4 linked regions of the Diceros bicornis minor genome follow. The protein of the gene in region 2 interacts with the protein of the main gene of each other region in a pairwise test. Links are inferred from orthologs where the notes say so. Each region holds a gene or a part of one and is shown on either strand. Other genes may lie near its edges.

Evidence for each region.
Region 1: the proteins of KCTD9 (region 2) and NUP35 interact in binary tests that used the Homo sapiens proteins (3 or more experiments, as listed by UniProt). The two-hybrid records come from large-scale screens. The link is inferred for Diceros bicornis minor from reciprocal best matches to the Homo sapiens genes KCTD9 and NUP35.
Region 3: the proteins of KCTD9 (region 2) and LONRF1 interact in binary tests that used the Homo sapiens proteins (3 or more experiments, as listed by UniProt). The two-hybrid records come from large-scale screens. The link is inferred for Diceros bicornis minor from reciprocal best matches to the Homo sapiens genes KCTD9 and LONRF1.
Region 4: the proteins of KCTD9 (region 2) and TRIM42 interact in binary tests that used the Homo sapiens proteins (3 or more experiments, as listed by UniProt). The two-hybrid records come from large-scale screens. The link is inferred for Diceros bicornis minor from reciprocal best matches to the Homo sapiens genes KCTD9 and TRIM42.

What each region holds. Positions count from the first base shown.
Region 1 is NC_080749.1:62,994,926-63,002,156, forward strand, and holds the start of NUP35 (nucleoporin NUP35), read left to right. Parts: upstream 1-4,204; 5' UTR 4,205-4,265; coding exon 4,266-4,305; intron 4,306-7,231. UniProt on the Homo sapiens protein: Functions as a component of the nuclear pore complex (NPC).
Region 2 is NC_080750.1:68,411,366-68,418,926, reverse strand, and holds the start of KCTD9 (BTB/POZ domain-containing protein KCTD9), read right to left. Parts: upstream 3,037-7,561; 5' UTR 2,994-3,036; coding exon 2,946-2,993; intron 1-2,945. Other genes in the region: CDCA2 (cell division cycle-associated protein 2), read left to right, coding at 4,458-4,487, 4,659-4,722, 4,815-4,988, 6,178-6,332. UniProt on the Homo sapiens protein: Substrate-specific adapter of a BCR (BTB-CUL3-RBX1) E3 ubiquitin-protein ligase complex, which mediates the ubiquitination of target proteins, leading to their degradation by the proteasome.
Region 3 is NC_080768.1:25,797,994-25,805,283, forward strand, and holds the start of LONRF1 (LON peptidase N-terminal domain and RING finger protein 1), read left to right. Parts: upstream 1-4,290; 5' UTR 4,291-4,363; coding exon 4,364-5,084; intron 5,085-7,290.
Region 4 is NC_080741.1:12,847,361-12,854,785, forward strand, and holds the start of TRIM42 (tripartite motif-containing protein 42), read right to left. Parts: upstream 3,008-7,425; coding exon 2,667-3,007; intron 1-2,666.

The sequences.
Region 1 (7,231 bases), on a different chromosome or scaffold from region 2:
ATAGAAATACAGAAAAGAAAAAGTTATGGTCCCTGTCCTCAAGAAAATCCATCTAGTGGGGCTGAAATTTACAAAACAAGTATCTTATAGCAAATGAGTTGTAGAAGTAGTGTGTTCTGTGATTGAGTGATTGAGGTCTGGCAGGGCTGGGGCAAGTTTCATGGTGCAAGAGACCTGCTACTTGCGGAAAGGATAGGACTTTGTAAAGGGGTGGAAAGCAAAGAGATGCTAGGCAGGGGGATGCTGCAAAGCAAGGAATACAATGTGAAGATCTTTCACAAGAGGTTGAAGGTTTGCAAAGGGGAATAATGGGAGAATTAACTGGAGCAGAAGGTTAGGGTGAAAGGGTGAAGAGACTTTATTTTTGAAGCCAGGGTTCTCAATCACACCAGATGAAGGTAGAGTGACCATGTGTATTCCCTTTAGGGGTACCTACTGAAATCTCTAAAAGAGATGCTCTACCCTCCTGTCTCAGTCTGTTTGGGCTGTTATAACAGAATTCCGTAGACTGGGTGACTTATAAACAACAGAAATTTATTTCTCACAGTTCTGGGAACTGTGGAGGCTGAGAAGTCCAAGATCAAGTCACCAGCAGATTTGGTGTCCTGTGAGAGCCTGCTTCCTGATTCACAGACAGCAGTCTTGTAGCTATATCTTCACATGGCCCAGGTGGAGGTGAGGGTGGAGAGCTTTCTGGGATCTCTTTTATAAGGGCACTAATCTCATTCATGAGGGCCCCACCCTCATGACCTAATCACTTCCCAAAGGCCCCATCTCCAGATTCCGTCATATTGGGAATCAGGATTTCAACAGATGAATTTTGGGGGACACAAACATTCAGTCTATCACACTGTCTACCCTAAGAGATTCTGGTTTCCCGCTTTCCTTGCTAGCCAGGTGAGAATGTATGTAGTGTAATGAGGGACGTTATTGGTTGGCATGCACTGCACACGTGAATCCTGTGGAGCTAAAGAAAAGCTGCTGTAGAGAACTGGAAGTCACTGAGGGTTTTTGGCCAGCCAGGTAACGTGTACAAAGTAGCTAGTGATGTGTTAGAGTTGCTGGGAGAGACTGAAGGCAAGGAGATGTTAAGAGTTGACTGCAATTGTCTAGGAATTGAGGAGAGAGAAAGAACAGGACTTGTATCTGAATGTTTGATGGCAGGGAAGGTGGAAGCCAAAAAAAGAAAAGTGGACCAGACACTGTACTAAGCATAACCACCTTTCAAAGTAGGTATTGTTTCTATTTTACACAAAATAAAATCTACAGAGATTTAGTACAAATCCAAGCAATACAAGATTTAAGCAGGAAAGTCGGGCCCTGAATTCAGGTCTGTTTGACCTTAAGTTCTGCTCTAACACCCTGTGCTTTTAATCTTCTGTTTCTAAGAGACTAACAGAAAAAGGGACAACTGGAATGGGACTGGTTTTAGGGATGGGTTTGTTTTTGAGGTTTGATGTGTTGGTAGGTTGCTTAGCATGCATCTGGAAAAGTATCATTTGGCTTTAGAGAAGGGTGGCAGACAATACTGGAAATTATTTGCATAGATGTGACAATTGACGAGGACTCCAAAGGAGACCATAAGGAATTGAGGAAGAGAAAGAAGACAAAGGCTTGACTAACAATAATATGTCCAGGTTAGAATGAAATGGGATCAGGTACGGAAAAGCCAGGGAAAGAGTAGAAAGTTGGGAGGAGAAGTAGGAAGTATAGCATCACCAAAACATGGAAAACACCCATATACAGGAAAAGATTGTCAAAGCTGTTGAATACTGCAGATGTCAAGGAGACAGGTCTAATTTGGCAATCAGGAGAAAAATAGTTGCGGTCAGTGGTTTCAGAAGAGAATTTACACAGGAGGCAGTGTTTAATGAATTAAAAAACAAAATGGTGAAGTTAAGGAAACAGACCATCTACTAAAGTCTGTAAACCTTTTTTTGAGATCTTGAAAAAAAGAGAAGAAATATGACAGAAATTAATGCATGGTAGCCAGAAGAAAGAGCAAGTTCTAGGGAAGGTTTTTGGATAGGGCAAACTGGGTCTTTTTATAATTTGATGAGGAAAGAGCCAGTCAAAAAGGTAGAAGATTGAAATGCAAGTGAAGAAAGGAAAATGACTTTCTTTCTTAAAGGAAAAAAAGTTTTTAATTTGAAGAATACTAAAAACAGTAAATAACACCTCTAATCAGCCACTAAAAATTATATAAAGTGAATTAAAGGCCCTTCTTAAGCCCTCCAATTTACAAACCCCTCTCCAACTCTATCTTTCCTGTTAATAGTTTGGCACAAATGTTTCCCAACTTCTTCCTTTATTTAAACAAGCATCTCTCTCTCTCTTTGCATCTATACCCAAATACCCTTTTTTTGTTAAATGAAAATAAAATGATGCCATATACATGTTTTCAAATTGCTTCTTTCAGTATATCAATCATGGAGATTTTTCTAGGTGAATACACACTCGTACTCACATATCAAATCCATCTTATTCTTTTTAACAGGTGCCTAATGTTCTTTTGTTTGGCTATATCATAATTTATATAGAAATTCCTTCATTGATGAACCTTTCTTGGTACCTAAGTTATAAAAATGGAATTGCTGGGTGTGGTGGGCTGAATGACAGCTCCCAAAGATATGCACACTCTAATCTCGGGAACCTATGAATGTTATCCTATATGGCAAAACGTACTTTGCAGATGTGATTATTAACTTAATCATCACAACTGGATATTGAAATGGGAAGATTATCTTGGATTATCTGAGTAGGTCCTAAATGTAATTTCTAACTACATCCCTACCTACATCCATACATCCCTCTTCTTTACAAACCTACTTCTTCATTACATACCTATATCCCTCTTCTCATAAGAGGGAGGCAGAGAGAGATTTTACTACAGAAGAAGACGGCCATGTAATGACAGAAGCAAAGAGAAGCAGTGTCAGAGAGAGAGAAGATGCTATGCCTCTGGCTTTGAAAGGAGAGGACATGGCCAAAAGCCAAGGAATATAGTTAGCCGCAAGAAGTTAGAAAAGTCAAGGAAACATATTTTCCCTCGGAGTCTCCAGAAGAAACCAGTCTTGCTGACACCCTGACTTTAGCCCCATAAGACTCATTTTGAATTTCTGGTCTTTAGAACCATAAAACATAAATTTGTGTTGGTTTAAGCTGCCAAGTTGGTGGTAATTCAGTATGACCTCATCTGAACTTAATTACATCTGCAAAGACTTCCAAATAAGGTCACATTCCTATGTACCGGAGGTTAGCACTTAAACATATCTTTTTGGGGGACACAGTTTAACTCACACGCTTGTAAAAAAAAAAAAAGATCAATTCATCTGTAAGTGGTTTTAAATTTTGATTTCTGGGAAGTTGTCATTTAATGGTGGAATTGTTATTGCCTCACTCAAATTAAAAAATTCTTGCTGGATGTGGGATTTCAGGAAATCCCAAAGGAAACAGTGACGGAGGATGGGTGGGTATTTTGAGGATAATGAGTTTGGTACGGACCAGAGAGCATCCCAGAATATAAACAACGTAGCACATCACTTTTATAAAGTTAGTAAGTGAGCAAAACTAAACAACATATTTTTGTACACACAAATATAGAATGTGTGTGTGTGTGATATTTGAATACACTCTAAAGAAAAGCACCACACCGAGGGGAGGAGGACCGTCGGGATGAGATAGGGAGGCGCACACAGGGTTCCGCGGCGTTGGTGGGTTCACGGATATTTGTTAGCCTCCGTTATTTAATATCTTTTGTATGTATTAGTGTGTAATAAAACAGTAAGTATGCGTTATGTTTTAATATAAAACTGTGCCTATAGAACATAAAATTTAAAAACGTGGCATACGGATGGTAGAAAATACGCTTTGAGAATGGAGCAGTCACTTGGAAAAGCTGACAGATAACAGAGCACTAGGTAAACTCACGCTAATTATGAAACCGTGAGTAAAAGAACTTGTGCTTCTATGAAATTCAAGCACCAACAAACCAGGAGGCTCACAGCGGGAGTAGCAGCATTCCCAGAACCATAGTTTCCACGCTGGCTGATCACCTTACCAGCGAACTGCTTCTTCCAGACGCTGAGATTGCGCAAAGATTATTGCCCTATTCCAAAATGACGGCTCCAGCGCCTACAACTTAAGTATAGCGCATGTCCGGAAGTTACGCAACCCCATAAGGTAGCGCGCCCCTACCCGTGGGGAGAGTTTCCGCCATTTTTGAAAATCGGGAAGGTCTGGGGCTAAGTGCAGTTGCCGACGCGATGGCAGCCTTTGCCGTGGAACCCCAGGCACCCACGCTGGGTGAGTGAAAAACTGCTTTTCCTCGCTGGCACTTCGATCCACGCCGTAGGCCTGGAAGCGGGCAAGACTGAAAGGCAGTAGTCACCAGGCTCTCGTCTGCTAGTTTCAGTCGCGGAGGGGGAGTCCCTGACTCGCCCCCAAGTTCCCGGGAGGCCCCCTGCCCGAGGCGTCGCCACACTGCCGCTACGAAGGCGGCTCCAGGAAGCTGCGGGCCCCGGGGAGGGTGAGAAAACGGCCGTCGAGTGGTGACTGAGCCGTTTTGTGCCCCCACACGCCGGCCGTGCCCCACCTGCCCATACCTGTGACTCTCACAGCGCCCCAAACGCGCCGCTGGGTTCCGGGGTCGCGGGCAGCGTCGGAGGGAAGAAACTGACCGGCGTACACGTGGGTGGGCGGTGCCCTGGAGGGGGGTTACAGCCACCGCTCTTTGGTCACCTAGGCTTCTAGTTCATGTTTGAGTGCTTCCCTTTTCTGGGCTTTGCAAAAAGGAATCTGTTAGCAATGGAAGCTTGAGTCGAGCGACATTTATTTAACCAGGTGATGGCAGCCATCGAGATAGTGGCCTTAATAGGAAGCCTGGAGCTCGCACCCGCCTTTATCTTGGGAAAGATTTTCCCCGCCTTTTATCTTGGGAAAGCGACCAAGTATTGTAGGAGATCTTTTGCTCTAATTAGTCACGTAATGAAAATTCATTCCATTGTTTAATGGGGAGCCTCGCTGAAATGTGTTGTCGTTGAAAGAATCGACCAAGTTAACAGGATGTCGATTTCCTTTTTGTCTGCTGAGTTTGGGGACTTGTGAGAACCGTCGAAAATTTTAGAACGGAAAATAAACCGTCTGCTATCATAGACGTATTTGAAAATTGGGTTACAACTTTCTGAGTTTGGAAAAGAGTAAGTGCGATATATGTCTGTAGAATGAGGTTTTTTTTTGGCTTTGAAGGCTATATAATGCCATATTTTGTGCAAAATAAGTTTTTTTTTGAGAATAGAGTAACGAACTGTTTTAGTGTTAGTCATAAGAAACTAAACGCATAATGTCAGTGCAGATACTCTGCTACATTTAAACTTACGTACAGATGTTGGTCTAGGTATTTGTTTTGTATTATTTTAGAGATCAGAAAACTGTTCATTTCCGGTTCCAGAGTTTTCTACTCAACAAAAACATTTTGGAGTGTGTATTTCTTAGGGTTACAAATGTGAATAAACCTTTTCCTGTTTATTGCCTGGTCAGAAATATGACATTAGCTGATATTAATTGTTCAAGTCCACATACTGCAGATATTCCAGGTGAAGAATAAACATTTTCCCAGCACCCAATGGTATGTTAAAACTAAGGGTTACTTCAACAAACAATGCCAGCTGAGCAAGGTACAGTACTTATTTTAGGAGTACAGATTGTGAAATGAAATGAAAGACTTGCACAATCCATTGGTGTAGTTCTCTTTAAGGGAAATTTAGCCTGAGGGATGGTTGATGACAGTCTGAGTCCTTTCTGTCCCCCTCACTCTGGTGCTTTCTACTGTCTCACAATATACATACAGATATATCAGAACTTTTCTTGACTTAATTCTTCTTATACTTGCCATATATATTTTTTCTTCTGGGGGATGGGAGAGTGAAGATAGTTGGTGGGACCTAAAACTTTGTGTTTATTACAGTGGGTTCCTAAATGTATGTTTGGAATATGCTTTTGTTTATGCTTTTGTGTAGTCTTTCGGTGTGTAATGTTCTTTGGAAATATGTAATAGTACCGTAGTAACATAATAACTAGCACTTCAAAATAATTACAGTGTAGTTATAGTTCTTTACACCTATTTCAGTATTTGTTTTACTCTTTTCCTGAATTACTTTGTCTTTTTCCTCTTGTATAGGCTTGCATTGTTAATATCTGGGTCTACTCTAATGAGAAATAAGAGGAAGATTAGATAATTGACAGCATTTGGATAGCAAGAAACAAATTTTTGATACTATTTAGAAGGAATGGTTAATAAAGCCCATATAAATAACATACCAAATGTTTGACTTTTCTGAGTGCCATGAGTCACATTCAGTCTTGTCACGTAGTTGAAAATTAAATTTTCGTAAGCAGAAACTGCAAATTTTACATTTATACGTTACTTAGTCAGTTTTTGCTATTATTATAAGATATTGTTAGAATAATAATAACTAATATTTGTTGAACACTTACTGTATATTAGGCACTGGGTCAAGCACTTTACGTGCTGTAATTCTAATCAGAGCTCTGTGAGTCAGGGCTACGATTAGGCCCATTTTGCTGAGACACTTGAACCCAGGTCTCTGAGTCCAGAGCCCATGTTTTCCTTACTGTGCTATTTTGCTTTGAAATTAGAGTAAGTATGACTTCCTTATTTTCATAATGGGAATAATAATACCTACCCTGTACTTGGTGTGAAGATTAATTTTGAATTGATTGTGAAGTGTCAGTTCTCTTTTTAAATTGGTTTTATATTAGGGAGACTTTTATTGATTATTTCTGACTTCAAAATGAATGATTTTTAAACATGATCCAAAAAATAAACTTTCCGTGTCTTTTCAATATGTTTCTCAGTTGGGATGCTAATCATCATTGTTACGTCATATATGCTCTAATGTGTGCATGATTACACTTTTATTACAAAAGTTATTTACAGTTTTTGTGTATGGGGAAGAAAAAATGGGACATATAGCAAGCTAAACCCATTGTGTTTGATTTGCTAAGCAACTTTGTGTAAGTAGCTAGTGCACAATGTCCTGGTTTTTGTTTGTTATATAGTAGAAGCTGACCCAGAAATGGAACGAGGTCATTCTGTATGTATTAGGGATTTTTTTTTTTAGATAATAAACTGAAGTTTTTATTTTTTATTTATTTATTTATTTTTTAAGATTTTATTTATTTATTTTTCCCCCAAAGCCCCAGTAGATAG
Region 2 (7,561 bases):
CGACTTAGACAAGTTGGCCAGTAAGAATCTCCTAAGTATTTATCATTAAATTTAGTCTGCCAAATATAAGATTGACTTTGTTATTAAAAAAAAAAAGAAAAAAATCTGAAACTGTTGTCTTTATGTGCTGGAAAATATTTTTAAATGTCCTGCTAATTGGGATGACCCTATTGTCTAGTATTTCAAAGAACAATATACACTTAGGGAGAGGTTTACTGTTACCAGCAGTTATTAAATAGGACTTCAAATAGTCTTCTTTAAAATTTGGCAGTTTTTACTTCTTCTCAGAGCCAAAGAGATCCCTAGTTTTTTGTCTCATAGTTTGTATCAGGAGAAGTGGCAGCGCAGCTTTTTCTCATTGTTTACTTACGCTTGCATAATTAATACCATCTTCAATCTGCTACTGCTTTGAAGCAATCTTTTACAGCCACTTGGCATTTTGGTGAGGGGTTTAGTTAAAACTGCATAATACAAATCTTAACCTGGCACTTGTAAGCTGAAGTCCAGCTAACACATTCAGTGACTGAAGGCACCTATGTCTTTCCAGGTTGGAAAAATCAAGTTTTAATATTATTTTATATTTTTAAGTAAAAAATAAAAGGTATCGCTTCTCAAACTCTACTAGATCCTCTCGCACATCCTCTGTGGTGTAGCATCTCACTCTGGAAAGCACTGTTTTCGGGAATGCACAGGCCTCTCTTGAACATCAAAACATTCACTAGTTACGCTTATGTTTATTCGGTATACAGAAGTCAAGTCACCGGGAGCACACGATAGAGTCCCCTGCAGTGACTCTGTGCCTCCCCAACCTCAGGCTTCAGGGCCCAGTCTGGCAACCACTGAACAAGCTTTATAGGAGGGAAACTTATTTGAAAAAACAAATATTATTCTTATGACCAGGAAGTAAAAACAGAAACTAGGTAAATAAGGAGATAATGAAAGTGACACAGATATGTCAACTGGTAGATGGGAAATCAAACTCTACTTTCTACTAGCACTTTGTTTTAGCACATTCTTCTTAACATCATGTCATGATCATGCCAATCCTGGCTAAATACACTTTATTTACATAAAAATGCAGGCTGTTATGTATTATTCTGCTCTTTTTTGTCAAAAAAGAGTAATGATTTTTTTTTTTAATCAGCTGAAGGGAGAGGAGAGGAAACACTGACAACTTTGGCATAGAGTATGTTTTCCATTTGAATAGTAAAGATTATGGCATGATTTATTTTTTAATACTAAATCATACTAGTATTCTTCAGTTTGGGTTTTTATGATCTTTGTAACATAAACCTATTTATATTTAATTATTTGAGATGTGTTTTTTCCAATTTTCTGAGATTCTCTAGCAAAATATTTTTAAAGCAAAAAAAATTTAAATCCAAAAACCTAACCTAGTCAAAACTAGACAGCTTAAAAAAACCCAAAAACCTTATTAAAAGAATATGGTACAACTAACCCAACCAATCTCTGACAACAAAATTCTGCAGTTTCAGAAGAGATTTAGAGCACAGTTAAATCTTTATGACTGAGTCTAAACATCTTGTCTTTCAGGGAATAACATAGACATGATGGATAAAAAGGCCAATCAGAGGTCTGTTTTTGAGAACATATTACAATTGTAACTTTAGATATACCAAATCTTTCTTCCAGTAACAATATAAGTTTTAGATTATGAGTAGCAGCTAACAACAGACAAAACAGGTTTAGAAAAAGTTAATAATGGTCAGAAATAAGTAAATCTTGTGAAGCATATTTTGAAGTAGCATTTATGAAAACTCAAGAACTTGAATTTATCTCAGTTGTTTTTTATGAATGTTTTTTATAAATATTAAATCTCTAAAAACAGGAAAACAAAATTATAGTCAACAAACTACACTGTGGTTCAAATTTTTAGAGCATGTTTACTCAAAGTTGCAGAGTAGTTGGAAAGCCATTTTTTATATCGTGGCACAATTAAGTTATTTAAAATTTCATGTTTCCAAAATATGAAGGAAACAAAGTATTCTGGCAAATAATAATATAATGAGGCCAATTTACCTTTACCTTAGTCTCTAAGGCTTAGTTACTTCTAGACGTCATTTAGCCACACCATATATGTCTGCCTCGAACAGTCAAATTTTCCAAAGAAGCCGACCAACTTTCATGGGTGGGGCAAGAGGCTGAGAAGGAACAGGATTCATTTTGGCTTGCTCCAGCGTTGGAAAAATATTTAGTACCACGCCCTCAACAAAGGCCTAACACAGCAAAGAGTAATGTCAAATCAATCCATTTTGGTCTACTGTCACAGTCCTCTAAGGAACTAAAATAAGGCGAAACAACAAAGCAAGTACACAAGTTTGGCGGCAGCGGGACTCGGGGCACCTAAAAGATGGGGGGAAGGAGACCATCAAGAAAATGTCTCTAATTTTTAATCCTCTATTCGAGCTACGACGGAAAAATAGTTTCTTTATCCACTGATAAAGAGTTTAATTCTTTTATCTGATCACCCTTACATGTCTTAGTGGTTACCACCACTTTCTGGAGCAGATCATTACTCAGCACGAAGGTGGAAACAAGCGCCTTCTATAGCCGGGGGGGGGGGGGGGGGGCAGCGGGGTCTTCGGGGAGGAGGTGGAAAAAGGAACATCAGCACCAAGAGCTCAGGTGACAGCAGCCCTCCCTGTCCCGCACCTGGACTTGGCAATGATGAAGCACAAGCTGACCTGCGCTGGTCCCCGGGCAGCTGGGGAGTCGAAGGGCAGGCTCCGGCTGGGAATCCCGGGGCTGGGAGGAGGCCGCCAAGACCCACCTTCAGCTCTCGGACGCCCCCACCCCGGCGCACGCCCACCTCCCAGCTCCCAGCCCCTCTCCCCAACTTCAGCCTCTGCCCTGACGGCCCGCTCCGCACTCCGCTGCCCTCGCCCCCCAGCCGGGCCCGCCTCGCCTCCTTCCGACCCCCTTACCTTTCCATTCTTGGGGCTGCCGTTAAGGAACAGGGTCACCCGCCTCATCGCGCTGCCCCCACTGGGTCCTGAGTGAGCCGCCACCCTCCCACTTGGCTCTCCTCCCACCTTTTTCTTCTCCCGCCCCTCCCCTCCCTCCACCCACTCGGACTCTCCTCCCTTCGCCACCTTCTTTCTCCGGCAGACAGACACACACACGCACTCTCCGTCCCACACCCCGGGGTTGGCCGGTCCTCCTTCCCACCCCGCCCCTGGGCTCCTCAGTCCGCCTGGATCCCTTCCCCCACCTCTCCCAGACTGACTCTAAGCTCCACCAATCAACCGGCAGGGCCGGCCAGCACCCAGCCAATCATCGCCCTGCATTGGGTGGGTTCATACTAATCCAGCCCAGGTGGACGGAGAGAAGAGAGACTGCATTCTGTCGGACGGGAGGGTTTATCAGCCAATCAGAGCAGACCCTGGAGCCAAGCGGCGTCTCAAAGCGTTACTGAGCAGGCGCAACCCCAACCCCAGGTACAGCTTATCTGCATACAGAGGCGGGGTTTGAGGGAAGGAGGTGGAGCGCTAGAAACGACCCACACCAGTCAGCACCACCCCGCTGTAACCACCCCCGTTTGCTCAACCCACAGAGGAAGCGGCTGCCGTCAGGACTGGCTGATTGGGTAAGCGCCAGCTGCGGTTCTGTCAGGATTGGTCCAACGATTCTTTTCGAAGTTTGCAGCATCCAATCGAAAGGCGGGGGGAGGAGCTAAAAGAATAACCGAAGGGTTCTTCCGCGAAACTCCTGGAAAGTAGTCCCCGCGGACGCAGGTTAGCCGCCGGACCCTCCGGTCCGTGCGTCACCCGCAGCTAGCGGTGGCTTCTCTCTGAGCGCAGGCAGCCACTGCTGTTCCTGGGACGGCGAGGAAGAGGCCTGGGAGAGGTCGGAGAGGGCGCGGACACTTGCGGGTGGGGGCGGCGTAGAGACTCGCAGAGTGACGCCGGACGCCGCGGGGCGGGGCCGGCGATTTGAATCCGGCGGCGGGCGGCGGCGAGTCGAGGGGAGGGTGCGGTAACGCGGCTGCGGGGTCGGGGCGGTCGCGGCGGCGGCCGGGGACGAGGCGGCCTTCCGGCGGTCGCTTTCCCGAGCGAACCTTTAGGACCAAAGAGCCGAGGTCTGGAAGGCCGACCGGCACGACGCCCGTCTGCGGGGCCGTGTTCGCGGTGGACCCCGGCGGAGGAGAGCCGAGCGGGCGGGAGAGGTGGGGCAGTGGCCCGGCGGGGCTTCACATGCGGGCCGCAGAGCTGTGGGTTCGGCCGTTTCTCGAACTGTGCTCTGCTTATCCTGCCCCACCGAGGTGGGGCTCCTCCTGCCACCTGAGCTGCTCACCCGCAGGCTGTTTAAAATGCAGGTTCTGGGGCTCAGCCACACCTCCTGAATTGGAATTTCTGCGAGTCTAGAAAGCTGCGTGTTTCCCAGGGTGCGCGGATGATTCGGATGTTCGCTGAGGTTGAAAAGCCGTGGCTTGTAGTATGGGGTCTGCTTTGTTTCATCCTGAACAGGTTTCCTCCGTTTCTCTCTTTAATTTGAGCTCCAGAGGTATTCTCTTGGCATCTATTTTCATGCCAGCATCGATTGCATTAGGGTTCAGTCTTGCATGAGGATCTCGATAGAATCACATTAATCTGAGCGGTGTGGTCATTTTTGTTTCTTTCTTTCTCTTCTTCTTTTAGATGGATACCAACTTCAAGGACAGCAAGCTCCCTGAAACCAAGGAGTCTGCTGTTAATAATGCTGGTGTGTAGTAATCTATTGCCGCCTTGTGAAATTTAAGGTTTAGGTGTTTATCTTGAGAATGGTGTTTAACCTCCACAACATGTCTGTTTCAGAAAATGCCTCTTTAGTTTTTGGAAATGGGAACCTTGTAACTCCTCAGAAACACGCGCGCAAAGTGACTCCTAATTGTTGCACACCGGATAGTTTTAAATCACCTTTGAACTTTTCCTCAGTAACTGTAGAGCGCTTGGGAATTACACCTGACAGCTTTGTAAAGAACTCTTCTGGTAAGAGAAGTTGTCATTCTTTGCAGTGCTTTTAGAATTTAAAAATAACTTTAATATAACTCAGTTTTGTTCATCTATTGTGTCTTATTACTTGACGTATTTAAATTGACTCTGCAAACTTGCTTGGTCAAGGAGACTTCTGTGCACATACACAGTTCTTCTAGCGCAGCAGGATACCAGGGCCCCCGGGCATCCAGCATGACAATGCTCCTAAGTCAGAGTTGTGCTCTGTGCCCGAACTGGAAAAGAATATGTGTATGAATCACTTTTTGACCAGACACATGGGATACCGGAGTGTGTATACTACAAAAAGTAATACATTTTGTGGTTGTGTATGACAAAAGTAAAAGAAAGTTGAAGTGATTAAGAAAATATAACACTGAAAGATTGGAGTATGCCTCTTTTAAAATTAGAAACAGAAAATTTACCCAAAGGCTAATCTTCAAGAAGTAGGAACGAAATTCACAGGAGCCTGTGAAGTCTGACTTAGATGGCGAAGAAGGAAATAGGGGAATGGAATTAGATTAGAGAATAGCATTTAGGAATGGAGGGTAATGGGGAACTTGAAAGTCAGAGGGCCCTAGGCTGGGAAATAGGTGCTTGAGACAAGACCAGAGGAGCGTGCCACTCTATGTTCCCTTCTCAAGAACATCACTCTTAGACTTTTAAAAAGCTAGATTTATATTGTGTGCTTAGGTGTTTGGCCAGAATTCAGGGTAGTGTGCTGGAGGTAGGTAGGTATCTAAGAGAGAAATTATCTTGAAGAACTGGAAACAGAGAATACATGTGCCTAGGTGGAGTTCTTTCCTTTTAGTCTTGGGGATGAGACTAGTTCAGAAAAAGAGAAATTCTTAGTCCAAAGGAAGCTATTACCCACTTCTGTGTGCAGGAAATATGAAACAAAAATATGAGAACTATTAAGTAAAATATGTTCATGCCTTTATTCCACAACTGTTTGATAAATGTCTGTGTGCTGGGCACTGTTCCAGGAGCATGGAATAAATCAGTAGACAAAACAAAGATCCCTATGGAGCTGATCAGAACAATTTTGCCTATAATTTTCTATTTAGATTTCTGTACCGTGTGTTTATCAGGTTCTCTCTCAGGCTGGTACATTATGGGTAATCAGGACATGATTACTGATGATTGCCTTGTCTTATTCCAGTTTAAAAAAGAGTTTTCATTATAGGAAAGTCATCATCCTACCTTAAAAAATCCAGACGACGCTCTACAGTCGGTGCCCGGGGCTCTCCTGAAACAAACCATCTTATTCGTTTCATTGCTCAACAGCGGAATTTAAAGAATGCAGAAAAATCTCCTTTGACACAGAATTCCCCTTTTCAGGTATGATTTTCTTCTAAGCCCTGTCTAGGGGGAATGTTTTCCTCTGTTATGAAGCTTTTTTACAGTGTTTCTTCCTTCCAGTGCATCTCATCTGTTTTGGATCTGGAGAGGAGAATATTTTCTCTGTTTTACAGAGAGTGTGCAGTTAGCATAAATGGTGATGTTGAGCATGGATATATTAAGAGTTATGAGATCTTGGATAGAAATGGCATTCTATAGGAGCTTTCTATTTTATTTTGCAAATTTTTTTCTAGTTAATGTCTCTTTTCCTATAATGAAGCAAGGCAGTGTTTTCCAACCTTTTTCTTTTAGTATCTTGTCTCTAAGCGTCTAATTTTTTTGTGACTGCGATGTATTGGTGTGTAGGGGCAAGAGTTCCCCGAAAACAATGTATTTGGGATAACCTTCTGGAAGGGAGCAAATTATTTGTCAGCTGATGGGGAAGTATTTAGATATTTTTGCAGATTTTTATTGGAATGATACAAGCTCCCCAAAAGTCAAATAGTAGTACAAGGCTTACTATGAAAGGCACAGTCCCCAGCTTACCTTTCTTGAAAGACGACTACTTTTGACTCTTGGTATTGGCCTTCCTACTTTACAGTGTATTTATATTGCCACTTCCTTGTTTTTCAGTGTTACACAGCGCATGCGTGAGGCCTATAGTGCAGTGCAGTGGTTCTCAAAGATTATCTGCAGATCCCTAGGGATCCCTGAGTTCCATTCAAGAGGCCCATGAGGTCAAAACTATTTTTTGTTACAGCACTAAGATGTTATTTGCGTTTTTTCACTGTTGATATTTGCATTCATGGTACAAAAGCAGTGGTAGGTAAAACTGGTGACATCAAACTGTCATTTTATTCAGCACTGCTACACACTCACAGGAAATAATAATAATGCCACTTTCACTTAACATCCTTGATGAAGCGATAAAGATTATAAATAATTATTAATTCTCAACCTTTGAGTATTATGTGTCATGAAGTGCAAATTATGCATCAAGGACTTCCAGCGTACATCCAGAAATATGGTGGATGTTTCGAGAGAAATCGTGTGTGATTGAGCTGTGAGCTGAGCTAGCCACTTTTTTTCACGGAACATCATTTTTACTTGAAAGCATGACTGACAGATATCAAGGTTAATCAGACTTGGGAATGTGGCTAACATTTTCTTAAAAATGAACTGTGAACCTGCTATTTCAAGGAAAAACTGAAATATTTCTTACCAATGAT
Region 3 (7,290 bases), on a different chromosome or scaffold from region 2:
TGGGAAGTATGAGAGAAAGAGAGGAGAAATGAAGAAAATAAATTGTCCTAGTGTGTTAATGGTAAATGTATTTTTGACACTAACAAGAATGAAGAGTATTAGGTGATATCATTAATTTGTGTGTGACTCATTCAACAATGATTATGTACTGGCTTCTCAGTGCCCTGAGTGCTAGAGACACATCAGTGAACAAGATGGGCAGAAATACCAGCTCTCAAGGAGCTTACATTCTAGAGGGAGGAGATAAATAATACTTATATATATTATATGTCAGATGACGCTAAGTGCTAAGGCAGGGGGAAGTAGACAAGGAAGGAGGATGGAGAGCACCAAGGGAATTCATATGTAATTAATTCTTAGAACTTGTTAAATAATGTATAAGATTTATTCCCATGTCTATTTGCTTTTAACAGCTTGATACTGGGAAATGCATTCATTTTATCAATTTGACTACCAATAAAAGAGAATATGGGTTACCTATTCCTAGATTCTTCAGAGTGTTAGAAAAGAATAAGAATGGTGCCCTTGGGAAGGGTAGTGCCCTAGAGCACTTTGACAGTGCTCCCCACTGGGATGCCAGGAGCAATGAGTAGTAAACTGTACTAGTTTAGTCAGTAGTCATTGCCTGCGACTGGGTTTAGACATCTGCTTGGCATCACCTCTATTTAACCTACTCATGTTGTCCTCATTAGGGCGTTTCACTTAGAACACTATGAGAGCAATCATATATTGTATTTTTAGCATCTTATATAAACTTCCCCACAAATGCCCAAGTTATGTAACCAGGCCCCCCCACGGGCTCTCTTCCAGCCTCTCACAGATTTACAGTAGAGGCGAGGAGGTATGTGTGTGATGGGAGATCCTTGTCCAATGACTGAAAACGTTCATGCCCCCAGATTGGTTCCCCCTGCTCTGGACAGGGCTGGGTGTGCCCCAACAAAATGTGCTTCCTGATACCCTCCTCTTCTATTCTCAGCCTTCACCTTCTGCTGTTACATTTTCATCAGGTGTCACGTTGCTGTGCTCCTGAGGCTGGGAGACTCTGCCTCCTCTCATTGTGTTCAAACAAACTCCCAGGGCTCGCCTCCAGAGGCAGAAGGCATCCAAGAGGGTGTTCCAGTTCCCTCATTTTACAGATGGCAAATGAGGCTCAGGGAGGCCAGGTGACTTCCTTGCACATATAGATGCATAAATATGGTCAACACTGGTCTCTGGATCCCCTCTCCAGTATGACTTCTATTAAACCAGCAGCTCCTCAGCTCTCAGTGTTCTCATATATGTACAACCAGGGCTGTGAGAGGTGGTCTCTCAATTCCCTTCCTCCTGTGCATTACGTATAGATGTGCTATTGGGTATGCACAGATTATGTTACACTGTAGAGTTTACTGTTTCAATGCATTGACTAGAATGTTACCAACTGCCAAGAATCAGGAAGAGGACATAACTGTGCTTGGTTCTTTAAAGCTTCAATTCAGTCTTTCTTTTTTAATGGTAAGAATGAGAAGAAACAAATGGTAAATTCACCCACGGCAAAAAAAGGAGGTTCAAATACACATCTTCAGCTGACTCGTGTACAAGAAAAGCACTCTGTTACGTGATTCTGAAATAGGAGTTTACCTCACTATATCGGGAAAAGTCTCCTTCTGGTGTGGCAGAGAATGATAGTGATAAGCATTTTCCAAATTAGGAAACAGATATGCTTTTCTTCTTACTCTCTTACATAACTGATCTATTTTAGAAGACAACACTGAAAAACTGAAATGAAATACAAATCTCATGATTTTACTACTTGGTTAACAAAGACAGAAGCAAGAAATGCTGAGAGGAAAAGAGGAGAGATTCACCCCACCCCATCCTACTCCTCCTGTCTGGGGGCTGGTTCGCAGGATTCTCTCTTCTCCATGGCAGCTTGCTGGGTGACTCAGAGACCAAAGTCCAAATTTTAGAAAATGAATGAAGAGAGATACTAATTTCTCTCTCTTCTGAATTTAAAAAGCAGTCGCATCTAAGCGCAGATCCTCTTGGGGGGGCACAGAATGAAGGGAGGGTGACCTGTTGCAGAGTCAGTGGTGGTTCTGCCCCAGACTTCCTGATTCAGAGGGAACTTGTGCAGTACACAAAGGATACAGAGGCAGGACAGCCTCTTACATAAATAAGTTACATAAATGAGAACCAGTTATGTAAATGTATAAACCAGCAAACATGAATTATAACCATTCACAAATGCCAAAGAGAACACGGCAAGATTCCTCCTACGGTCCCATTTTTTTTCTCTCACATTATCATAATCGTACCATTTTTTTTCACACCAGAATCAGATGTGGTTATTTGTCACATCTATTAGGGAAAGAACCTCCAAAGGACAAATGATCCTTCATATTATTTTCTGAACTATACATGTTACTTTTGGGGGAAATTGCATAATCAAACCTGCTTTGAACTCTATTTGATAAGAAATATAAGCATGTTTATCAATTTATTATACTTCTTGTGTAATCATGAACACACGTATTTACTGTCGTACATTTGGCAGGCTGCTGTGAAGGACAGGACTATGCATCACAAATGTAAATGTCCATGTGTATATGGATTTTTGTTTTACCACTTTATAGTTTCAAGTCTCGAATATGTAGGCATCTGATTAAAGTCATGCTTCTGCTTATTGAGGGAAGGTAGTAATTGTGGAGGCTAGGATTAGATTCAAGGTTATGCTTGGGCATTAATTCCAATATTCCCCACCTCAAGTGATGAGGAGCTGCTCTTCGGGTCTTAGCTGCAATTTGCTTCAGGTGAACATGAATGATAAATGAACTTGTCTGTCTCTGCACCCTGTTGGAACAGGAACCTCACCTTTTCCTCAGTTAGATTTGTCCTTGTTCCCTTTGGGGCAATATATCTGCATCTTCTCTGAAGTTACATGATTTGCTCATTGTGTAGTAAAAACACATGTTACTCAAAGCAGCTTGGGGCCTAACTGCCTGTTCTGTATAAAGAGGGATGGTGATTACACGTTAGCCAATTTCAGATGTAGCATGCTCAGGTTAACTTTCCACTTAGCAATTTTATTTTGAAAATCTCACGTAAAATACTTTTATCTAAGACCTAATAATAATGGAATGAGAGTTAGGTCATCTAATAAGGTCTGTATAATATTAGCTGTGTGATTTTGGGCAAATAACTCTCCCTCTCTGGGCCATTGTTTCTAACCACTTGAAAAAGGACTCAAAGTTCTAAGCAACTTCCAGCATGAACAAGCTGATACTCTATAATCAATCTATAAATATTTTCAACTGAGAGCTTTAAACTCGCTGCCACCAAGTTTAAAAGAAATGGAACCCATTATACAAAAACCAGATCAATTTTCTTTTTTTTCTGTGGGCAAAACTGCAGACCCTGTTTGGGGTGCAGTGATATGGTGACTGCCCTGTGAAAAGCCTTCCTCCTGGTGTTTTCTCTTTAAAAATGCCAAATATAGGCCTTAGCCAGCTGCGGGGCAAGGAATGAGATGTGGAGAGTACAGCCGACACCTTGGGAACCTGAAGGCTTCCTCCTTCCAGGTGGAGGGTGAGTTTTAAACTGGAAAGGCAGCAGAAACTTGGCACCAGGGAAAACTGTCTTGCCCTCTGGAGAGTCGCCTCAGGAACCTAGGTGGGGTTATTTTGTTTCTAAAGTTGGCGACTCTAAACTTGAGGACCCTGACTTTGCGGATTCCTAGGCCCTCTGCCTCTACATGTCCATCTGTCACTTGGGCATGAATTAATGAAAATGCAGACGTGCACCTTACAACCAAGACACTACAGGGGGAGGCTCCCACGGGCCTGGAAGAGGCGACGGGTCCCCACTCAGGCGGCGGCTACGTCAGGGGAGGGTTGCGATTTGGCCCTCAGTCTAACGAAGCCGGCCGCGTGACCGGCAGAAGAGCCGCCACAAAGTAGGCATTAGGGGAGAAGCCATAGCAGGTGGGGGACGTCGGGTGGAGAGGCGACAAGGATGGAGGTCTCAGCTTCCCGGGGCTTTGTTCAGCTACAAGCCAGGCCCTTCTTTCCGGAGAAGCCAATTAGATCCCCGCTGGGGGATCATCTGACCTCGCGTCCCCCACCAGGAGGGGCTTCGGCAGGGCGGGGCCAGGCGGTCGCCTCCGCGGGGACCCGGCCGCGGGCGGTGCGGGGGAGCCCCGGACGCCGCCGCCGAGCCCGCCCCGCCCCGCGCCGCCAGGCCCCGCCCCCGGGGCTTCCCGGGCGCGCGCCGCCCCGCCGTGTCCGCGCGCCACGCCCCCCTGCTGGCGGGCCGCGTGCGGAGCCGCGCGCCCCGGAGCCTCCGGGACCGTGGCGGCGGGCGGCGGCGGAGCAGCCGTCCGTGGGCCATGTCTTCTCCGGCGGTGGCGAGGGGCTCCTCGGGAGGGAGCCGGGAGACGGCCCCCAGGCCGCAGAGCCGGGGCCGGTTCTGGGAGGTGGGCGGCGGCGGCGGCGACGGGCTGGAGCGCGCGGCCGCGGAGTCGGAGCGCTGGGAGCTGCTGCTCCGGCGCGGCGAGCTGCTGGCGCTGGGCGGCCACCTGAAGGGAGCGCTGGAGGCGTACGCGGCGGCGCTGCGCCGCGGGGCCCCGGCCAGGCCCGAGTGCCTCGGCACCCTGGTGGACTGCCTGGTGCTCAACTACCGGCTCCGCCACGGGCTGGGCTGGAGCGCGACCCCGGCGGCGGGCGCGGAGCCCGGCGCCGGCGGGCTGCTCAGCTGCCTGGGCTGCCGGGGCTTCCTGAGCGAGCCGGTGACCGTGCCCTGTGGCCACAGCTACTGCCGCCGCTGCCTGCGGAGAGAGCTCCGCGCCCGCTGCCGCCTCTGCCGGGACCGGCTGCCGCCCGCCCCCGCCGCGGCCGCGGATGCTGCGGGGACCGGCCCGCGCCCGCCGCCTCTGGCGGCCGCCGTCGCCGCCTCGGGCTTCAGGACCAGCGTCGTCCTCAACCACCTGGCCGAGAAGTGGTTCCCGGGCCAGCGGGAGCGAGCGCGGGCGGCCGGCCGGCTCGGGGAGCTGCTGTGCCAGGGGCGCTACCGCGAGGCCCTGGCCGCCGCCTGCGAGGCGCTGCGAGCAGGTGACCGCGGGGATGCGGCGCGGCCCGCCGACCCCACCCTCCTTCCCCGACGGGCTGCTCGTCTGCGCCCCAGGGAGGCCTCTGTGCCCCCCGGGTGTCGGGGCTGCGGGTCCTCGAGGGTGTGGGAGGGGCGGCGCCCCTGGTGCTTTGGTCACAATGGGGATCGCCCTCGGAGCCGACTGTGACGCGGCGCCGGGAGGGGCGCCCGGGCGCGGGGTTCCCTCGGCCGCGGCCTGGCGGGCGGGCGCGTCCGAGCGGAGCGGGTGGCCGGGGCGAGGCGGCCGAGCGCGGGATGGGTGGGAGCTGGGCGAGCCCCGGCGGCCGCCCGCTTCCTGCCGCGCGCTTTCCGGTAATTGACCGATCGGGCCCGGCCGGGCCGCGTCCACCGCGGGGAAACGACAGCCGGGGCGGGGAGAGGATCCCCAGCCGAGGCGAGGCGTGCACCGTTTACCTTCATCTCCCACAAAAGTCACCGGGGCAATTGGAAGCCGCGGGAGGGCAGAGTTGCATAAGCTGGGGGGGAGGCGTTGTGTAACGGGTGACGTCCGGTGGGCGTGGCGGGAGCTGGGCGCCCGCACCCAGCACCCGAGGCCCTGCCGGCCGCTGGGCTTCGGGCGGGTGTCGGAGCTACGCGGGGTGTTCAGCTCCTACCTGAAAATGCTTGCAGAATTGGTTCCTCCTGATGGTTTCAAGCTGCCTATTTCAAATCATGCTTATTTCATAAACTCATATGTGCTTACTTTCGAATACACCTAGTTCACGGTAAGGAGAAAGAGCTAGTGTCTGATCGAGTTCTTTGCCATGCTTCCGTTGGCCTTTCCACTCTGGATCAAGCTGTGGGGAAAGGCCTTGTAGATCTTTTGACTATTTCTTTGCTTCCAAGAAGCAGCTTCGGCCTGCTAATCTAGGTTAGCACTTTTCTTAAGGTAGTTTTAGGCTGTGGCAGGGGGCATTGCCAGACTTGTCTACGTAAAAGGAAGAGTTGTTCTTTAAATCGGTGGTTCTCTACCCAGGGGGATTTTACCCCCCAGGAGACATTATCTGGAGGCATTTTTGGTTGCCACCCCTTGTGGGAGTGGTGGTGGTGGTACATTTATCGGGTAGAGACCAGGGTCGCTGCTGAACATCCTACAATGCACAGAACAGCCTCCCACACAATTATAAAATGTCAATAGTGTCGCTGTTAAGCCTTTTGCTAAATAAGCATATTTCAAGATTAGTGTCTATATTGGCATGAAATAATACTTGAGGGATAATCCCCAAGAAAATAAACATCTAAAATATAAACTGATGTTAGGTATGAGGTAAATTTATCAACTATGTTACTGAGAGTATCTTATTGTGGATCTTTTCCCGTAAGTGCTTAGTCATTTTGAACTAGTGACAATATATTGAGTTATTTAATACCTTTAGAGTTCAAAGCACAAATCTGGCATATTTTTATATTCTTTCAGTCTCTTTATGGGGAGTAGGCAGTTATAAAATAGAACAGAATGATGGACCCAGAACAAAAGAGAACTATTTGAAATACAAAATTCTGGTGCAGGCAACTCTGCATCTCTGGGTGAAGAGGGTAAGAATGGGGAAGTACAGACCATCTAGGCCAGGGTCCTCATTTTAGATCTGAAGAAGCAAAAGCTGGGGCAGTGAAATGACTTGTCCACAGTCACACAGCTAGCTGGTTGTAAAGGCAACACTATCCTCCAGTTCTCCTAAAGGTTGGACCAGGGTTGGTCCTGCCCTTAAAGCTCATCCAATGAAAACGGTTAAACATAAATTTCCAAGGAAGTTATTTTGTAGCTAGTATAAAACCAAGGATAAAACTTAATGACAGCAGTATTCAGTGTTAACTGCTGCTAATTTAGTGAGTTGACCTCTTAAATTAGGGGCTTCATAAGAATTCAGGTCCTAATCCATGGAAGAACAGTGAGCACATTTATTAAGTAAGGTCTAGATTAATGTTCTATGACCAGTAATCTTTTAATTAAGGAAGATTCTGGGCCTTGGATTGAGGATTTTATTTTTAACAGGAAAAGACTCTGAAAGATCTACTCTCTCCCTTTTTCAGTGTGCACAGACAGCGAGTGGGACTTTTGCCCATTCAGCTACTTAATCCTACTTTTGTAGGTCTAGAACCCAAGTTTCCTGACTTTCACGTCATTGGCCTATTTTCCCCTTGTTTTCAGGTCTTTAGAAAATCATTAAT
Region 4 (7,425 bases), on a different chromosome or scaffold from region 2:
GCTGCTAGCCAGCTCATGTCCACAATAGAGGAGAACGATGGTCAAGTCCATGACAAGTGTGTGCTTCTGCTGTTTGTGTGTGTGTGTATGTTGATTCTTTATTTGTCTAATATCCAAGGCTGATTTCATATATTTAATTGTAAGAACTATGGATGAAGAAAAAGCATACTTGTAAAATTCAAGTGCATGTTCTAAGAAGCTACCATCAGGGCAAAAGCAGATGATGAAAAGAAATGAATTCACTGTGGGGATGGAGGAGTAAACAGACACACAATTGGTGACTGTTCCTATTTCTTCTCCTCTGTTCACATTAGTGACGTTTGGGTGTTGATCTTGATGTTGTGGCTGTGTTGTCTTCTGCTGTTCCTTCTTGCAGTCCCCATCTGCCCCTGTCTCCTTCCCCATCCCCTTGGCCAGGGACCTATGTCTCGGAGCCCAGAGAGTTAAAGTTGCTGCCCAGACATGTTGGAGTAGAGTGGCCCTGTGGTGGCAGAGAGTGCACCTTGTGGAGACTCAGGCACCTGGAAGGCTCCTCCCTTAGGGATTTGGCTGCTGGGCTCCAGGCCTGCCGGCCTCAATGTTCTCAGCCCTGAGCCCTCCCTGCTTTCCCAGCCTCCTCCCTGGGCCCTGAAGGGCTCACCTGGAGATGCAGGTCAATTGTTCACAGGGTAGCTGGATGGTCTTCTCTAGTTTGATAAGGTGGGAATCTGAGAATCAGGTGTAACATGAAGGGAGACAGCAAGAGAAATCAGAAGAAGGAGGGAGTGGGGGTGGTGTTGGGGGAAGAGGAAGAGAGAGAGGGCAAGGCTAAGAGACAGGTGTTAACGGCCCAGGGAGAAGGGGTACAGGTGGAACAGGAAGTGAGCAGAAGAGATGAGTGAGGCGGACAGGGATGGATACGGCCAGAGTGAGGCAGGAGGAGCGAGACGCTGAGCAGGAAGTGGTGGTGAGGAACAGGAAGGGCAGCGGTTCAGGAGAGAGGCCAGATGGAAGATCAGCCTCAGTGCGCCCAGAGCCAACCCCTTGACACTTGCGATAGCATCCCTGCCCACCCTCGGAAAGCTCAGGCTTGGACCCGGGCATCCAGTGGCCACGGTTCCGCGCCAGAACAGTTCCAAGCGCCGCGGCCTTGCCTGCTTGCTGAGATCTCCAGCCTCTGCTCCTCTGCACAGCCTGCTCCCTCTCCCGAATTCAGCCCTGTTCTTCCTGCTCCTGGGTTCTCACTCTACCACCCAGCAAGTCTCCCAGCTTCCCTCCTTGTCCCCTCCAGGCAGTTCTGCGCTTTAGAATCACCTGGGAGGGGACCTGTACAATTCTGATGCCTAGGTCGTTCCCCAGACCAATAAAATCAGAATGTCTAGGGGCGGGAGCCAGGCATCAGTAGTCTTTAAAGATCCCCAAGTGATTCCATGCAAAGCAGTTGGGAGCTACTGGCTTAAGGCATCTTCCCAAAGAACCAATGTCATCCCTCGCCTGTTGAAATGGGCTCAGTGACTCTCCATTGCTGATGCGCAGAAAGTGGGGCAGTTGAGAGGAGAGAGGAGTGTGGACACTACTTTCTGCACCTCAGAGCTTCTGGACCTGCATCCGGGACCCCTGGGTTCTCTATTCGCACAAGCACCATGAGAGGTCCCTGAGCAGAGGGTAACATCTATTAAGCATCTACTAAGTGTGAACTGCAAGACAGAGCATACTCTTCCCCTGAGTTCACTGAACCTTTCTCACAGTATGGCTTTTCCAGCCTTAAAAGGCTTCAAACCTGCCTCTCACTTTTCTGCCTTTCCAAATCCTGTCATCTTACAGCGCTCAGCTTTGATCGTTCCTCCTCAAGGGAGCCTGCCTACTGCTCCCAGATCCCCCTCATGTGTGACATAAAAAGCCTGGCTTGGTCAGAGCGGGAAGAGGATGTGCACTGCCTGAGACAGGGAGTGAATGCCCCAAATGAGTAACTGAGACCCTCAGTGCCATGACTTCTGGATAGAAATGGAGAGAAAGCTGGCAGAAGGTCACGGCCATCTGGGGGACTTATGTAGGCCATAGGGGTCAAAAGCTGTGGAAGTTCTTGCTTTTCCGATAAGTGTTGCAGATATCAAGAGTTCAGAGGAGGAAGAGGAGGAGCAATTTGTATTTTTATGTCACATAACAGACTACAGAGCACGTACATTAATCCTCAAACCCACCGAATCGTGATAGGCGTTGTTCTCTCCATTTTGCACCAGAGCGTTTTAAAGTTAAGAGCACAGACTTTGGGTTCAAATCCTGACCACATCTTACTGGCTGTTTGATCCTGGGCTGCTTACCCTCTCAAGGGCTCCGTTTCCTCATTGCACAGTGGGCGTGTGCTGGGGGTCGGATGGGGCCGTGCATGCAGTGCCTGGCAAGTTGCTTAAGCACTAAGTCTTAGCTATGACTGTTTGTACAGACGAGAGAGCTGAGGTTCAGGGGAGCACAGTGCTTGTTCACACATGGGGGACTTGGAACTCAGGTCTCTCCACGGTTAGTGGCTGTTTAGGACACACTCAATTGCTACAAAATTCTTGGGTTCCTTTTTTCAGCTAGAGAAATGTACTCGCAGGACCGCTGGCCTTCCCTGTGGACCCCACAGCTGGCAGGGGCCCCCAGTTTTCCTGAGCCAGTGTGGCCCACGTTGGGTGCCCGGCACTTACGAGATGCGGATGCTCTTGAGGCGGCCCTTGCGGAATGTGATGGTGGCATTGCGGCAGCAGCGGCTCTCGTAGTAGTAGCACTTGAGGTTGCTGCTGGTCGTGCAGCAGCACTTACAGTTGGGGTCATTGGCCCAGGAGCAGCAGCACCAGTGGCAGTTGGGGTTCTCGGAGCAGGTGCAGTGGCAGCACTGACAGTTCCGCTCATCCTTGTAAGGGCAGGGAAAGCAGGTGCAGTTCCGCTCCGAGGTGAAGAGGAACTTGCAGCACAGACAGGAGCATAGTCGAGGACAGCATCTCTGCCATGTACAACATGGAGAGCAAACACACATGGCGGTCTCCATGGTGCCTACATGATTGCCACCGCCCTCTGGGCCTCTTGATGCCTCCTCTACTAGAATCTTCCTGTGAGTTCTCCTGTGAGGAGGACCCTCCTCTCCCTGATGAGCCCGTCAGCTTGGAGGTTGCAAGAGGTTGGCTGTTATGAGGCCTTCACAGGCTGTGTTCCTACTGGGAAGCTCATGGGCTGGCATTTACATATATCAGACTGAGGCCATTCGCTTATGTCACAATCCCTGTCTACCTACCATATCTCACCAAGCTGGGTAGGTGGGAGGGTGAGATCTGGGGGGTAGTGGCAGGTGGGCTGATGGACACTCCATGCTTTCAGAGGACCAACTCCAGAGGAGAGTTAATGCCATGAGCCATCCTGGAGCTTTAGCTGTCACTTGTCACCTTTTAGGTTATGGGGTGGATTTCAGAAGCTATTTCTCTTTGCTTGGTGCTTTTCCTGCAACTTGGGTAAGTTGACTTCAGGGTATGTCTTTATAGGCTGAAAGGCCTGGGTATGATTAATTGGAAAAGTAGACTGACGTGATGTTCCTCTCCTTGGGCTTTTTCTGCCTTGATAGAACTCTTTGTTTTATGAACAAAGCACGCTGTTTACAAATGATAGCAATGCTACATTTAAAGGGAATCACCATTTGGAGAAAGAATTAAAGGAAAAAAAGATGTAAGTTCACTTAGGCGCTTCTTTCAGTAGTGGTTGAGTTGGTCAGTTGCTGCATCGTCACTGCTGCTTCTCATGAGTCTTCATGCATAAGTTACTCTGAACATTTCTTGGCTTTTTTATAGCTTCATGGTGAAACGGAGGCTTCAAGGCTGAGGCTCAAGCTCTGTTTCTCCCCCTCCTCCCATCCCACTATATCCCTTTTATCAATAGGCTGGAACTCTACATGAGAACCTTTAACTCTTCTTTTAGTACATGCTCAGTATCTCTAGAAACGACCTTATATTTTAGGGGAGAATTTTGCTTTCCACTCTATGCAGCTTGAAAAGAGTTAAAGAGCAGAAATTTCAGGGCCGGCCCCATGGCTCAGCGGTTAAGTGCGCGCGCTCCGCTGCTGGTGGCCCGGGTTCGGATCCCGGGATCCCGGGCGCGCACCGACACACTGCTTGTCAGGTCATGCTGAGGCCGCGTCCCACGTACAGCAATTAGAAGGATGTGAAACTATGATGTACAACTATCTACTGGCGCTTTGGGGGGAAAAATAAATAAATAAAATTAAAGAGCAGAAATTTCATGGTCATTTGGTATAAACACTCTGGTGTAAACACTCTTATTATTTTTCCAAAAAGAAGCAGAAATGAGAGCTGAATTTGGCTGCAGTAGTTTATTGCATAATTTATTATCTCTCCCTATGATTCTCACCTTTATAACAGGAATGTTCACTGAGTACCAACAGTGTTAGCCACACATTGATCTTAGATTCCTACAAATGAAAATCCTGGATCATAGGGTATGTGCTTTATTTTTTTGATAGATACTACTAAATTGCTTACTTAAATGTGTGTGCCAGTTTATAGTGACATCAATAATGTATGAAAGACATTTTTTCCCTATGAGTTTTGTGAACTCAATTTTATCAATATTCCTTTCTACCTGCCAGGTACAGAGGTTTGTTTCACTCCTGAATTTCTAGTACATTTTCATCATTGGTCTGTGCAAGGCTTTCTCTTGTTTTTTTTTCCTTTCGTTTCTTTTTAAATCCTTATTGAAATATAATTTATTTACCATTAAACTCACCACTTTAAAGTCAACAATTTAATGGTTTTTAGTATACTCTCAAGACTGTGCAACTATCACCACTATCTAAATCCAGAACATTTTTATCACCCCAAAACGATACTGTGTACTCATTAGCAGTCATTGCCTATGCCCTCTCCCTGCAGCCCCTGGCGACCATTAATCTACTTTCTGTAATATTGATACATGCTAAAACATGGATGAAAATTGAAAACATTATGCTAAGTGGAAGAAGCCAGATACAAAAGGTCACATTGTATATATTGTATATTGTATATTATATGGCTGTACCACATTTTGTTTATTCATTATCAGTTGATGGGCATTTTGGTTGTTTCCACTTTTTGGCTATTAGTAATAACGTTGCTGTGAACATTTGTGTGCAAGTTTTTGTTTGAACATATGTTTTCAGTTCTCTTGACTATATACCTAGGAGTAGAATTTCTGGGTCATATGCTAACTCTATGTTTAACTTTTTGAGGCAATGCCAAGCTGTTTCCAAAACAGCTGCATCATTTTGCATTTTTGCATTCCCACCAGCAATGTATGAGGTTATAATTTCTCCAGATCCTCACCAAAACTTGTTATTGTTCTTTTAAAATTATTATTATTATAACCATTATAGTGGGTATAAAGTGGGATCTCATTGTGGTTTAGATTTGAATTTCCTTGATGGCTAATGATGTTGCGAACTTTTTCATATGCTTATTGGACATTTGGATATCTTTTTTGGAGAAATGTCTGTTCAAGTCCCATTTTAAAATTGAATTGTCCTTTTTATCGTTGAGTTGTAAGAGTTCTTTGTATAATATAGGTACTATACCCTTATCAGATATATGATTTGCAAATATTTTTTCCATTCTGTTGTTTGTCTTTTCACTTTTTTGATAGTGTCCTTTGAAGCACAAAAGTTTTAATTTTGATGAAGTCTAATTTACCTGTATTTTTGTTGTTGTTGCTTGCTCTTCTGGTGTTATTTAAGAAACCTTTGCCAATTCCAAGATTTTAGAGATTTACACCTATGTTTTCTCCTAATAGCTTTGTATTTGAGCTCTTACTCTTAGGTCTTTGATCCATTTTGAATTAATTTTTGTATTTGACATTTGAATGTCCATATATGTGGTTTATTACTGGACTCTCTATTCTAGTCCTTTGATCTATACGTCTATTTTTACACTAACCACACTGTTCTGATTACTGCAGGTTTGTAGTAAGTTTTGAAATTGGGAAGTGTGAATTCTCTACTTTTGTTCTTCCTTTAAAGATTGTCTTGGATATTCTGATTCCCTTGTATTTCAATATAAACTTTAGGATCAGCTCTTCCATTTTGGCACAGAAGTCCATTAGAATCTTGATAGGGATTGCATTTAATCTATAGATCAATTTGAGGAGGATTGTCATCTTAGCTATATTAAGTTTTTCAATCCATGAACACAAGATGTCCTTCCATTTATATAGGACTTCTTTACTTTCTGTCAACAACGATTTTCTTTTTTGGTTTTTGTTTTTGGCTTAATCCAATACTATTTATTATCTTATAGTTCTGGAGATCAGAAGTCCAAAATAGGTCTCATTGGGCTAAAATCAAGATGTCAGCAGGGTTGTATTCCTTCTGAAGGCTCTAGGAGAAAATCTTTGCCTTTTCCAGCTTCTGGAGCCCACCTGCATTCCTTGGCTTGCGGCCGCCTTCCTCCATCTTCAAAACCAGCATCCTAGCATGTTCAGATCTCTCTCTCTCTGACCTCTTCACACCTCTTCCTTTATCACATCTCCTCTGACTCTGATCCTCCTGACTCCCTGTCAACAATGTTTTTTAATTTTCAGTGTACAAGTCTTGTACTTCTATGGTTAAATTAATTCCTAAGTATATTATTCTTTTGATACTACTGTAAATGAAATTGTTTTCTTAATTTTATTTTTGGATTGTTCATTGTTAGTGTAGAGAAATAAGCTGATTTTTCAATGTTGGTCTTGTATCCTGCAACTTTGATGAACTCATTATTAGCTCTAATCTTTTTTTGTTGATTTTTAAGGAATTTTTTATATATATGACTTCATGTTATCATGAATGGTATTTTGAATATGACACCAAAAGCACAGGCAACAAAAGCAAAATAGACAAGTGAGTCTACACCAAACTAAAAAGCTTCTGCACAGCAAAGGAAACAATCAGTAGGGTGAAGAGGCAACCTATGGAATGGGTGAAAACATTTGCAAACCATATATCTGATAAGGGGTTAATTTCTAAAATATATGAAGAGCTCATACAACTTAAGAGCAAAAAAGAAAGATAATCCAACTTAAAAATTGGCAAAAGACCTGAACAGACATTTTTCCAGAGAAGAAATACAAATGGCCAATAGGTACATAAAAAGGTGTGAAACATCACTAATCATCAGAGAAATGCAAATCAAATCCACAATGAACTATCACCTCACATCGGTTAGGATGGCTATCATCAAAAAAGCAGGAAGATAACAAACGTTGGTGAGAATGAGGAGAAAAGAGAGCCCTTGTACTCTGTGGGTGGGAAGGTAAAGTCATACAGCCACTATGGAAAACAGTACGGAGGTTCCCCAAAAAACTAAAACTAGAACTACCATATGATCCAGAAACTATCACATATATCCCATTTCTGGATATATAGATGAAGGAAATGAAATCAGTATCTTAAAG